4 linked regions of the Saccharomyces cerevisiae S288C genome follow. The protein of the gene in region 2 interacts with the protein of the main gene of each other region in a biochemical or structural test. Each region holds a gene or a part of one and is shown on either strand. Other genes may lie near its edges. The genes, in order: BET1, SED5, SLY1 and SEC22.

Region 1 (2,795 bases), on a different chromosome or scaffold from region 2:
TTATTTCTTTGTCAATATTTACCCGGCCTTTTAAATTTGTATCACCACTTGAAGAACATGCTGCAGTTGCCGGTTAGCTTCTAACCACCTTTCGATATAGGAATCGAAATAGGAATCGAAATTTATTTCTAGGCCCAAGGATCAAAATATAAGTGTATATAAACACACACACACACATATATATATATATACGTACATGCATAGGAGAGGATCTTATTTTGGAGATTCTATCTGGGGTTGCTCGTGTTTATCCACAACAGGGGTTGTAGTGTCTTGTTTCCTCAGTTTCTTCATTATTTCTTCAAAAATGGGACAAAGAGATGATTCTCTGTACATTTCTACAAGCGTTTTTTTACTTGAAACTTGATTCTCAATCATTTCTACAAATTTTGGATCTATAGGAACGTTACCAAGGTATGGGACAGAAAATTGCTCCGATAATCTTTTACCACCCCCACTGGAAAAGATATTTGTACACTCAGCACAATGCGGGCATACAAACCCTGACATGTTTTCAATTATACCGAGGATCTTTAAATCGACCTTCTTGCAGAAATTGATTTCTTTTTTGACATCAGCTGTTGCAACACTCTGTGGGGTAGTTACTACAATACCACCATCTGGTTTGGAATATCTCAGCTCCTCTGCAATCGATATATGTTCATCCGACGTTCCCGGAGGGGTATCGATCAGTAAGTAATCCAGTTCACCCCAGGCGACGTCAGAGATGAATTGTTTTATCATAGAAGTCTTCTTAGGACCCCTCCATATCACGCTGTTCCCTCTATCACCTAGTAGAAACCCCAATGATATTACACTAAGAGAGCCAGTAGAGTTTGTCTCCACTTTCACAGGTTGCCAACCTTCAGGACCTTGATATATAGATTCGTTCTCTAGGCCAAACATCCTCGGTAAGGATGGCCCTGTTAAATCAATATCTAAAACTCCAACTTTGAAGCCCATACTGCAAAGAGTCAGCGCAGTCTGTGTCGTTACCGAACTTTTACCGACACCACCTTTTCCGGAAAGGATCAATATGATATGTTTTATTCCTGCCAAAGAGGCCGCAGGAACGCCTATCTCCTGTTCCTCCATGCTTAATTGTAATAGTCGTATTAGTTTTGGGTGCTCCTCGACGCATGTGTATAGTTTTCATTTTGATGGTGTAAAACGTTCATGACTAATGAAGCCTTCCGATTTCTTTCCATTTTGCTATTACTTGCGCGATGAGCCGTCTAATGTGATTCTTCCAAATAATATCTAATAAACCCATGGTGTTTACTCTGTGATAGGAACCAAAGATCCCGTAATTATCGCTTTGTAATTGTATTTCCAGTTATTTCTGTACATTCTAGGTTACTGTTCAGGGATATGTTTCACTCTTATCGATGTGGCGTGCAAAAAATTTGAAGGGGCGACATATCAGGGAAAGTATTAGTGATTTTTTATAATGTTGCACTATCTCAGATGAAATTTATGCATGCTAATTGGCGGATACTACTCTACCGTTGTTGCAAGCTACGTAGGAACGTTCACGGCTCTTTCTTCCATTAATTTTAAATTGCGAAAGTATCCAGTAGTTGTTAAAAATGGAGTTTTTTCAACTCGCGCCTTTTGCCAAGGAATGGTAGAAAACAAACAGTAGTTCACTTGAGACTGTGAATGTGTTAGAAAATGTGATTGAAGAGCCTCACAACACTAGGCTACACAGATGAGTTCAAGGTATGAGAAATTATTAGACTATTCTAAAGTTAGAGTAGCGCTTTTTGTTAAACATCTACCATAACACCTCGATATTGGGAGTTATTGACCACGAGTGAACTTCGTTTACTAACTATAGCGTGTGTATATAGATTTGCAGGGGGAAACGCTTATCAACGTGATACTGGTAGAACACAGTTATTCGGACCGGCTGATGGATCAAATAGTCTCGATGACAATGTATCATCAGCGCTAGGGAGCACAGATAAATTAGACTACTCCCAAAGTACTTTGGCATCTCTTGAATCTCAAAGTGAGGAACAGATGGGAGCTATGGGTCAGAGAATAAAAGCACTCAAGTCATTATCGTTGAAGATGGGTGATGAGATTAGAGGCAGCAATCAAACTATTGACCAGCTTGGTGATACTTTCCATAACACTTCTGTAAAACTCAAAAGGACTTTTGGAAACATGATGGAGATGGCCAGAAGATCTGGGATCAGTATAAAAACATGGTTAATAATATTTTTTATGGTAGGCGTGCTATTTTTTTGGGTATGGATTACATAAATATTTGCATATTGTACATTAAACCTAAGTGACAAAATAAGAGCGACGTTTGTTAGATGATTGTAGATATTGATACGTGAAATAAAGGATAGTTATGATAGCATCATAAGATATCAGCATTCTTTTATTTTTATAACTACTTAAGCGTTTAATCTTGATTTTTTTTTTTCTCCATATTTCCTAGGATACCGACAGCGTTCCTTTTCGCCCTATAGTGTTTCCTTACTTTGTATCTTCTGTAAATAGATGGACCTTTGAGTATTGCGATAAACAAAACAATAACAATTAAGTAACCGGGCATGCCGTTCCCGTGGATTATGTCTAGGAAACTGAGGACATTATGGAATGGAGAATTTATCAATCTCCCCTTCAACTTAGAGCTGTATAGAGCTTTTGATGGAATATTTAAGGACACGAATGCTTCTCTCAGCAATTGAGGGTTGTTAGAAGTCAAGGAGTTGCCAAAATTATCTTTATTGTAGTAGTAATTATTTGATTTATCAATGATAATCACATCACCAATT
Region 2 (3,394 bases):
ATTAATGTTTTCTTACTGTTTAATGCGATGTACATATTGTCAATACTAATGGTCACCACTGGAAATGGCTATCTTTCGTCTTCGTGAATAACGATCGCCGAGAGTCGGACCGAGTGAGTCAGCGTGATCGGCCTCATTTACCTTGTCGCCTTGCACGTCGGTATATAAACGTATGTGGATACTTTAAGAAGGGAAAGCGCAACCGTCCAAATTCTAATGAACAAAAGAACACAGGAATACAAGAACACAAGAGCGATAATGTCTGCCACTCTGTTCAATAACATCGAATTGCTGCCCCCTGATGCCCTTTTTGGTATTAAGCAAAGGTACGGGCAAGATCAACGTGCTACCAAGGTCGACTTGGGTATCGGGGCCTACAGAGACGACAACGGTAAACCATGGGTCTTGCCAAGTGTTAAAGCCGCCGAAAAGCTAATTCATAACGACAGCTCCTACAACCATGAATACCTCGGTATTACCGGTCTGCCAAGTTTGACATCTAACGCCGCCAAGATCATCTTCGGTACGCAATCCGATGCCTTTCAGGAAGACAGAGTAATCTCAGTACAATCACTGTCTGGTACGGGTGCTCTTCATATATCTGCGAAGTTTTTTTCAAAATTCTTCCCAGATAAACTGGTCTATTTGTCTAAGCCTACTTGGGCCAACCACATGGCCATTTTTGAGAATCAAGGCTTGAAAACGGCGACTTACCCTTACTGGGCCAACGAAACTAAGTCTTTGGACCTAAACGGCTTTCTAAATGCTATTCAAAAAGCTCCAGAGGGCTCCATTTTCGTTCTGCACTCTTGCGCCCATAACCCAACTGGTCTGGACCCTACTAGTGAACAATGGGTTCAAATCGTTGATGCTATCGCCTCAAAGAACCACATCGCCTTATTTGACACCGCCTACCAAGGGTTTGCCACTGGAGATTTGGACAAGGATGCCTATGCTGTGCGTCTAGGTGTGGAGAAGCTTTCAACGGTCTCTCCCGTCTTTGTCTGTCAGTCCTTTGCCAAGAACGCCGGTATGTACGGTGAGCGTGTAGGTTGTTTCCATCTAGCACTTACAAAACAAGCTCAAAACAAAACTATAAAGCCTGCTGTTACATCTCAATTGGCCAAAATCATTCGTAGTGAAGTGTCCAACCCACCCGCCTACGGCGCTAAGATTGTCGCTAAACTGTTGGAAACGCCAGAATTAACGGAACAGTGGCACAAGGATATGGTTACCATGTCCTCCAGAATTACGAAAATGAGGCACGCATTAAGAGACCATTTAGTCAAGTTGGGCACTCCTGGCAACTGGGATCATATAGTAAATCAATGCGGGATGTTCTCCTTTACAGGATTGACTCCTCAAATGGTTAAACGACTTGAAGAAACCCACGCAGTTTACTTGGTTGCCTCAGGTAGAGCTTCTATTGCTGGATTGAATCAAGGAAACGTGGAATACGTGGCTAAAGCCATTGATGAAGTGGTGCGCTTCTATACTATTGAAGCTAAATTGTAATGATTAAATAATACTTATACTTACCTATTACACTCTTCATATTTTTTTTAATGTAAAGAAAGTAAAAAAAAAAAAAAATAAAAAAAAGAGAAATGCTCTTTCTTTACCTTCACAGGTGTATTATTATGTTGTTGTAATATCCGGGTAGGTTTATTGATCGAGGCGAGGCGAAAGGGCATATTCGAAACAATCATTATGATAATAATGTCAATATAGAAATTGAAAAAAAAAAAAAAATCCTACCGCCGCATCGACGCTCCTGTTAGACCTTTGAACGGAAATCACCCACTCTTTACTGTATATATTTTATTCCACCTCTGTTTCCAACGACCATTTCACCATACCACACAACTCCCATGAACATAAAGGATAGAACTTCAGAATTTCAACAAAGTGTGTTGAGTTACAAGAAAAGAAACAAAAACTTTAGAGAACAGCAGAGGGAACGTCTACAAGAGAAAGAAAGTGAAAACTTTGCCAACAACACAACCGGCAATGGGAAAAGTGTCTCTGAGTTTCAAAAAAAGGCTTCTGGCATAGCTCACGAAATTTCATCCACCGCACAATTATTATCGAAATTAGCAGTGCTGGCCAAAAGGAAACCGATGTTCAATGACAACCCTGTAGAGATTGCCGAGCTATCATTTTTGATCAAAAGGAAGATTTATGCCATCGAACAAAGTTTAGTGCAATTAAGTCAGCTCAAGAAAACCGACGTGAATGGCAACACATCAAATCAATCTTCTAAGCAACCTAGTGCCGTACAGCACTCCAAAAATGTCGTAAATCTTTTAAACACGCAAATGAAAAACATATCAGGAAGTTTTAAAGACGTATTGGAGGAAAGGCAACGACTAGAAATGGCTAACAAAGACAGATGGCAAAAACTAACCACCGACACTGGACATGCACCAGCTGATGACCAAACGCAAAGCAATCACGCCGCGGACTTGACCACGTATAACAACTCCAACCCATTCATGACCTCACTACTAGATGAATCCTCAGAAAAGAATAACAACTCGTCCAACCAAGGAGAACTGTCTTTCCCTCAAAACGACTCTCAACTAATGTTAATGGAAGAGGGACAGTTATCCAATAACGTCTACTTACAAGAAAGAAATAGGGCGGTGGAGACAATAGAATCCACAATCCAGGAAGTGGGAAATCTCTTCCAACAACTGGCCTCCATGGTTCAAGAACAGGGCGAAGTAATCCAAAGGATTGATGCAAACGTAGACGACATCGATTTAAACATTAGTGGTGCTCAAAGGGAACTTTTGAAATACTTCGACAGGATAAAGAGTAATAGATGGTTAGCCGCAAAGGTTTTTTTTATAATCTTTGTATTTTTCGTTATTTGGGTTTTAGTCAATTAAAAGCAAAGTAAAAGAAAAAAAGATACATATTTGATTATTTATTTTTTTTCCTTCTCTCATCTTTTCTGTACAATAATATAGCAATAACAGATAAAAATAATGAATGCACATTCCCTTCTATACCTATGAACGCAAAAAAAAAAGACAACAAAAAAATAAAAACTATTAATTATGACTTAGCATTATGAACTTCATGTATATAAAAGAGCGTATACAGAACATGGAAAGTAAGAACACCTTTTTTTTTTCTTTCATCTAAACCGCATAGAACACGTTCAAAGCCCCATTTCTGCTTGTAGTTCTCTTAATGCTTTTTCATCTTCATCTTCTTCATCCTCTTCCTCTTCCCCGTCCTTCACAGAGTTCTCACTTTGTTTAATTTTATTACTTGGAACACTAGGTAGTGAGACTTTGTTCTCTGAGATAGGCGCCGCATTAACATTATTATTAACGATCTTGGACGTTTCTTGGTTAGCATTTTCTTGAGCCAGCATGTCCAA
Region 3 (4,569 bases), on a different chromosome or scaffold from region 2:
GAAGCAGAAGATTATAATATAAGTAGAGTAGAAGCATGTCATTGCAATTGTTGAATCCGAAGGCTGAATCGTTGAGAAGGGATGCGGCTTTGAAGGTTAACGTCACATCTGCTGAGGGCTTACAATCCGTCCTAGAGACCAACTTGGGCCCTAAGGGCACGCTAAAGATGCTTGTGGATGGTGCTGGTAACATCAAGCTGACCAAGGACGGTAAAGTGTTGCTGACCGAGATGCAGATCCAGTCGCCTACAGCGGTACTGATTGCTAGGGCAGCTGCCGCGCAGGATGAAATCACGGGCGATGGGACCACGACGGTTGTGTGTCTTGTGGGTGAATTGCTTAGACAAGCGCACCGTTTCATTCAAGAGGGCGTGCATCCGCGGATCATCACTGATGGGTTTGAGATTGCGCGGAAGGAGTCCATGAAATTTTTGGACGAATTCAAGATCAGTAAGACGAACCTTTCCAATGATAGAGAGTTCCTTCTGCAAGTGGCCCGGTCGTCGCTGCTAACCAAGGTGGACGCTGACTTGACGGAGGTCTTGACGCCCATTGTAACGGATGCGGTGCTAAGCGTGTACGACGCGCAGGCTGACAATTTGGATTTACACATGGTTGAGATCATGCAGATGCAGCACTTGTCTCCTAAAGATACCACTTTTATTAAGGGTTTGGTATTGGACCACGGTGGTAGGCATCCTGACATGCCCACCCGTGTGAAGAACGCGTATGTTTTGATTTTGAACGTATCTTTGGAATACGAGAAGACTGAAGTTAACTCTGGGTTCTTTTACAGTTCTGCGGACCAAAGGGACAAGTTGGCCGCTAGTGAGAGGAAGTTTGTGGATGCCAAGTTGAAGAAGATCATCGACTTGAAAAACGAAGTTTGTGGCATGGATCCAGACAAGGGTTTTGTTATCATTAACCAAAAAGGCATTGACCCCATGTCTTTAGACGTGTTTGCCAAACACAACATCTTGGCTTTGAGAAGGGCCAAGAGACGTAACATGGAAAGATTGCAATTGGTCACTGGCGGTGAAGCTCAGAACTCTGTGGAAGACTTGTCGCCTCAGATTCTTGGGTTTTCTGGCTTGGTCTACCAAGAAACCATAGGCGAGGAAAAATTCACATACGTTACAGAGAACACTGACCCCAAGTCTTGCACCATCTTAATCAAGGGCTCCACTCATTATGCCCTCGCTCAAACAAAGGATGCGGTGAGAGATGGTCTCAGAGCTGTGGCAAACGTTCTCAAGGACAAAAACATCATTCCAGGCGCTGGTGCGTTCTACATCGCCCTTTCGAGATACCTAAGATCTGCCAACATGAACAAGTTGGGTGCCAAGGGTAAAACAAAGACAGGTATTGAGGCGTTCGCAGAAGCATTGCTGGTAATTCCAAAGACTTTGGTGAAGAACTCAGGATTCGACCCATTGGACGTGCTCGCAATGGTGGAGGACGAGTTGGATGACGCTCAGGATTCTGACGAAACGAGATATGTTGGTGTGGACTTGAACATAGGTGATTCTTGCGACCCTACCATCGAGGGTATTTGGGATTCCTACCGCGTACTAAGAAATGCTATTACCGGTGCTACAGGTATTGCCAGCAACTTGTTATTATGCGATGAATTGTTAAGGGCAGGTAGATCCACTTTGAAAGAAACACCACAGTAATAAAAAATAATAATAATAATAATAATAACAAGAACACGAATACTAGTAGTAATAGTAGTCAGATACAAAAATTCTATGTAACATATTTTTTCCAGTCACTATCATCATCATCATATTTTGTATATATACATTTATTATATAAAATATCATACCAATTTTTGCCAAAGAACACCGTTTCCCTCTTCGCGTTGACCACAGTAATTGCAGAAACGACAAAAAAAAAACAAAAAAAAGAAGCACCATTCTAACTCAGCCTTTAATAACCTGACATGATAACTTATAATAGTCATTGCCAGTTGCTAAGTATCTTTGACCAAAAATCACAACATCATGGCTGTGGAGGAAATTGCGTCCCGCAAGGACATTAGTTTAAGAGATATGCAAATCTCTGCCATATTAAAAATGCTGTTTTTAAATAAGGATTTGAACAACAACGACAACATCACCACCATCACAGACGATATTTTTAACCAGCAGGAGATCATCTGGAAGGTGTTGATACTGGACATCAAGAGCACTGCTACCATATCTTCTGTTCTCAGAGTCAATGACCTGCTGAAAGCTGGTATCACCGTTCATTCCTTGATTAAACAAGACAGATCTCCCTTGCCAGATGTCCCTGCCATATATTTCGTCTCCCCCACAAAGGAAAACATTGACATTATAGTCAATGACTTGAAAAGCGACAAGTATTCTGAATTTTACATCAACTTTACCTCATCTCTGCCCAGAAACCTCCTGGAAGATTTGGCTCAACAAGTCTCCATCACGGGTAAATCTGATAAAATCAAACAAGTTTACGACCAATACCTGGACTTCATTGTAACTGAACCGGAACTGTTCTCACTAGAAATTTCAAACGCATACTTGACATTGAATGACCCGAAAACCACAGAAGAGGAAATCACGGGCTTATGCGCCAACATCGCGGACGGTTTATTCAACACTGTCTTAACGATCAATTCTATCCCCATTATAAGAGCAGCTAAGGGTGGGCCTGCTGAGATCATCGCTGAGAAACTGGGTACAAAATTACGTGATTTCGTCATCAATACCAATTCCTCCTCCACTTCCACTTTGCAGGGAAATGATTCTCTGGAAAGAGGAGTGTTGATTATTTTGGATAGAAACATAGATTTTGCCTCCATGTTTTCACATTCGTGGATTTATCAGTGCATGGTCTTTGATATTTTCAAATTATCAAGAAACACCGTTACTATTCCACTTGAAAGTAAGGAAAACGGAACTGACAATACCACCGCAAAACCATTAGCCACGAAAAAATATGATATAGAGCCAAACGATTTTTTTTGGATGGAAAACTCTCATTTGCCATTCCCAGAAGCTGCAGAGAACGTTGAAGCGGCATTGAATACGTACAAGGAGGAAGCCGCAGAAATTACTAGGAAAACTGGTGTTACCAACATATCAGATTTGGACCCAAACTCGAATAATGATACGGTTCAAATTCAGGAAGTCGTAAAGAAACTGCCAGAGTTAACAGCTAAGAAAAATACTATTGATACACATATGAATATTTTTGCTGCATTGTTGTCACAATTGGAAAGTAAAAGTCTTGATACTTTCTTTGAAGTTGAACAAGACCCTGGAAGCACCAAAACAAGATCTAGGTTTTTGGATATACTAAAAGATGGTAAGACAAACAATCTTGAGGACAAACTGAGATCGTTTATTGTTCTTTACTTGACATCAACGACAGGCTTACCAAAGGATTTTGTCCAAAATGTGGAAAACTATTTCAAGGAAAACGATTACGATATCAATGCTTTAAAATATGTTTATAAGCTAAGAGAGTTCATGCAATTATCAAATATGTCGTTACAAAATAAATCTTTGGAAGATGGATCCGATTCCGCTTTCAAACCAAGCAACTTAACATTATCCGGTATCTATGGCTTAACTGAAGGCAAATTACAAGGAGGTGTAGGAAGTTTAATATCAGGTATTAAGAAGTTACTGCCTGAAAAGAAAACCATCCCGATAACAAATGTTGTTGATGCGATAATGGACCCTTTAAACAGCTCTCAAAAAAATTTGGAGACTACTGACAGTTACCTATACATCGACCCAAAAATTACAAGGGGTTCCCATACCAGAAAGCCAAAAAGACAATCTTATAATAAGTCACTAGTGTTTGTAGTTGGTGGCGGTAACTACCTAGAATATCAAAACCTCCAAGAATGGGCACATTCCCAGTTGCATAATCCCAAAAAAGTCATGTATGGTAGCACAGCCATTACCACACCAGCTGAATTCTTAAATGAGATTTCTCGCCTTGGCGCAAGTAATAGCAGCAACAACGATGCATAATTGGCATCTAGCCCCAATGACGATACACTAATATATATATATATATATATATCTATATATCTGCAAGAAATAAGCGTGTGTAGTAAGTAAAAGGAAAAATAGAAATTTTTGCTCAAAAATAACGGTCCCATTTTGATACAATGTTTTTGGTTTAGTGATTTGCGTAATATTTATTTTTATTTATGAAATGTGCTTTAGGCTTTCTTCACTGTTACAAATAATTTGCGGAAGTTTCTAAAATCTTTGTTGACCTTTTGGCATCCAAAAACAGCAATTTGGCTTCATTAACGTCATTAACAACAATTTCCTTACGATTGCTTGTTTGTGCTAGGATACCACATGGTGCCAATAATTGTAAAGCGTAACGTAACGAAGTTTCTGTACCCATCGTGGCTAAAAGGTCCAATGCGCTACTTTCTACTTGCAATCTTTCAACGGTAGCTCTTCTCTCTATAATGGTACGGATCTCGTCCTTGTCATATGGTAATGTACGAACAATTAACAATCTATCGATCAAATCAGGTGGCACACCATGTGGTGATATCACATCCTCAGTGCCACG
Region 4 (2,855 bases), 480 kb from region 2:
TTATTGTTATATTTGACGAATTCTCAGATTTGAAACTCATAGAAACCTTCTTCCCCTTGGCGAATTCCAATTCAAACATAATCGAGTTCGTATTCTGTGTTCGCAATATAAAGAGTTCGTTTTATTCACCTTTGGAAAAATTACATATTGCGAACATAGTCGCAGATATTGATATTAACACATTGTATCTGGACTTCGTGGATTCAAATATCTATTCGGATCAAAATTTCTTTGGGATTTTTGATCCCGATATTTTTCAGCTGATTAATAAAAACTATAGAAACTTCTTTTCTAAGACTAACGAAAAGGGGAAGAAAAGACCCCCCATTTGCAAGAAAATCTGTTTTCCCTTTGTTGAAACATTGAATTTGGATTATATGGCCCTTGATTCATTCTTTAATTCGATACTGCATAAACTAACAACAAAGATAAAAACATTTGAAAGGAACAATGAGTTTGACGTGGATAAAAATTTAAATTTAAACTCGACAACGACAGTAGCAGCTTTAATTATCAAGTCGATCTTGCAACAATTCTTCAACAATTTTCATATCAGCTTCCCTAATTTGGTTACCTTGAATTTTATTAAGATGTCTACCTACCCAAACAATAATGAGATTACCCAATGTTGTAACTTCATAGATTTATCTTCATATGTTCTAAACAAATGTTTAAGTGAGAATATCTCGATAAATTTCCTCTTTCAGTTGCACTCTTTGAAAAATTGGTCAATGCCCAAGATTAAAGAATTCACTGGGCACAAATTCAAGTATGACGAAACAACATTTTCAGGTTCACCAGAAAGGTACATCAAATCATTGAGGGGAAACATTAAAATTTTGCAAGAAATGGCAATTAACGAAACCAACGATGGTACTTGCTATTTCAGAGTCAAGTTGATACCTGAGGGGGTAGAAAAAACTCAAATAATCAACTGGATCCCCTTTACTTCTTCATTTAGCGATGATACCTTCAAACAAAGACACCATTTAAAGAGGCCAATGATTTGCTTGAAGAACAACTCTTTAAGATCGCTCACTGTCAAAATCATACGTATTGAAAAATGTTCATCCATCCGAATCCAGGGATTTTACCTACCAAATCTGCAGGAACTGTTCATCAACAATACCCTTTGCGACACCACCCAACACCAAAAACAAGCGTCAAATGATATGAGTTGTATAGAGTTCACTTCATGGAATGAACTACCACAATGCAAGAAATTGGGATTTGCTCAATTAGAGGACGACTCTAACTACGTTCTTAATATCAGTAACCTACAAGACCATTTACCAAATCTGGACCTGCGGGAGAGTTTCCCAACTTTCTTCGATATAAGACAGAAGTTTGTCGTGGTTTGAGGTCTAATTTTCAACCAAACGTGTTGTACTAGCATATATAATTAAATAAATTTCTCTAGTTATCACTTGATTTATCTAATAAGAGACGTCATAAACGAATTTTTTTTTAGCAATAAATCCTCAACGCTTTTTGTTTTCATTTTTCGGTCTTTTTCTACCATAGAAGATAAACAAGTAGAGCCCATGTAATATAATATATCTACAACCTATTATTACCCAAAACCAACAAAAACCCTGACAGTGACACCCCGTTACACACTCACAATTAAGTAGGGATGATAAAGTCAACACTAATCTACAGAGAAGATGGGCTGCCTCTTTGTACGTCTGTGGACAACGAAAATGATCCCTCATTATTTGAACAAAAGCAAAAGGTGAAAATCGTCGTTTCCAGATTGACACCACAGTCTGCCACGGAGGCTACTTTGGAAAGTGGCTCCTTTGAGATCCATTATTTGAAGAAATCCATGGTGTACTACTTCGTCATTTGCGAATCTGGATACCCAAGAAACTTAGCATTCTCATACCTTAACGATATAGCGCAAGAATTTGAACACTCATTTGCTAATGAGTACCCCAAGCCTACCGTAAGACCATACCAGTTTGTAAACTTTGATAACTTTCTACAGATGACAAAAAAGTCATACAGTGATAAGAAAGTTCAGGACAATTTGGACCAACTAAACCAAGAGCTTGTAGGTGTCAAGCAAATCATGTCCAAGAACATCGAAGACCTACTTTACAGGGGAGATTCTCTCGATAAAATGAGTGACATGAGTTCTTCTTTGAAAGAAACATCCAAAAGGTACAGAAAGTCCGCGCAAAAGATCAACTTCGATCTCTTGATCAGTCAATATGCTCCTATTGTCATTGTCGCTTTCTTTTTCGTCTTTCTCTTCTGGTGGATCTTCCTCAAATAGACGTCACCCCATCATCCCACATCACAAATCCCGATCAATTTGGTCCAAGTGTATAACATAGTCTAGTTCAGTATTAGTATAGTATGGCAATTTATTTGACATAATTACGTATTTTTCAGGCAAGCTGGCAGGTGACCCGCCGCACCTGCACTTTTTAGGGAGTCTTTTCAAGGATATCATCACTATATATCGAAGGAAAAGAGGCTTTCCAACTCTTTTGGATGATCGAATTGCCATCACTACTCTATTAACTGTCTGTGTATTAACTAAATAATCACATAGTATTAAGTTATAATTCCTGGAAAAAAAAAGAAAGCGAAACGACAAAATTAGCATATACCATGTCTCAACTGCCAACAGATTTTGCTTCATTGATCAAGAGATTCCAATTTGTTAGTGTCCTCGATTCCAACCCTCAAACCAAAGTTATGTCCTTATTGGGAACCATTGACAACAAGGATGCTATTATCACGGCTGAAAAGACGCACTTTCTATTTGACGAAACCGTGAGAAGACCCTCTCAAGATGGCCGCTCCACTCCAGTTTTATATAATTGTGAAAACGAATATTCTTG

What was found.
Region 1: the proteins of SED5 (region 2) and BET1 form a complex in vitro, tested with the Saccharomyces cerevisiae proteins (4 studies listed by BioGRID).
Region 3: the proteins of SED5 (region 2) and SLY1 form a complex in vitro, tested with the Saccharomyces cerevisiae proteins (7 studies listed by BioGRID, with this or other methods).
Region 4: the proteins of SED5 (region 2) and SEC22 form a complex in vitro, tested with the Saccharomyces cerevisiae proteins (5 studies listed by BioGRID).

The regions. Positions count from the first base shown.
Region 1 is NC_001141.2:347,422-350,216, reverse strand, and holds BET1 (Bet1p), read left to right. Parts: upstream 1-1,711; coding exon 1,712-1,722; intron 1,723-1,853; coding exon 1,854-2,271; downstream 2,272-2,795. Other genes in the region: iron-sulfur cluster assembly protein CFD1, read right to left, coding at 214-1,095; protein disulfide isomerase EPS1, read right to left, coding at 2,420-2,795. UniProt on the Saccharomyces cerevisiae protein: SNARE required for targeting and fusion of ER-derived transport vesicles with the Golgi complex.
Region 2 is NC_001144.5:194,950-198,343, reverse strand, and holds SED5 (t-SNARE syntaxin), read left to right. Parts: upstream 1-1,871; coding exon 1,872-2,894; downstream 2,895-3,394. Other genes in the region: aspartate transaminase AAT2, read left to right, coding at 259-1,515; ESCRT-III subunit protein SNF7, read right to left, coding at 3,170-3,394. UniProt on the Saccharomyces cerevisiae protein: Required for vesicular transport between the endoplasmic reticulum and the Golgi complex. Acts as a target organelle soluble NSF attachment protein receptor (t-SNARE).
Region 3 is NC_001136.10:836,386-840,954, forward strand, and holds SLY1 (syntaxin-binding protein), read left to right. Parts: upstream 1-2,006; coding exon 2,007-4,007; downstream 4,008-4,569. Other genes in the region: chaperonin-containing T-complex subunit CCT6, read left to right, coding at 36-1,676; RVB1 (RuvB family ATP-dependent DNA helicase pontin), read right to left, coding at 4,219-4,569. UniProt on the Saccharomyces cerevisiae protein: Able to suppress the functional loss of YPT1. SLY1 is essential for cell viability. May interact indirectly, or directly with YPT1.
Region 4 is NC_001144.5:678,564-681,418, forward strand, and holds SEC22 (SNAP receptor SEC22), read left to right. Parts: upstream 1-1,636; coding exon 1,637-2,281; downstream 2,282-2,855. Other genes in the region: BOP2 (Bop2p), read left to right, coding at 1-1,361; DCS1 (5'-(N(7)-methyl 5'-triphosphoguanosine)-(mRNA) diphosphatase), read left to right, coding at 2,623-2,855. UniProt on the Saccharomyces cerevisiae protein: Nonessential SNARE involved in targeting and fusion of ER-derived transport vesicles with the Golgi complex as well as Golgi-derived retrograde transport vesicles with the ER.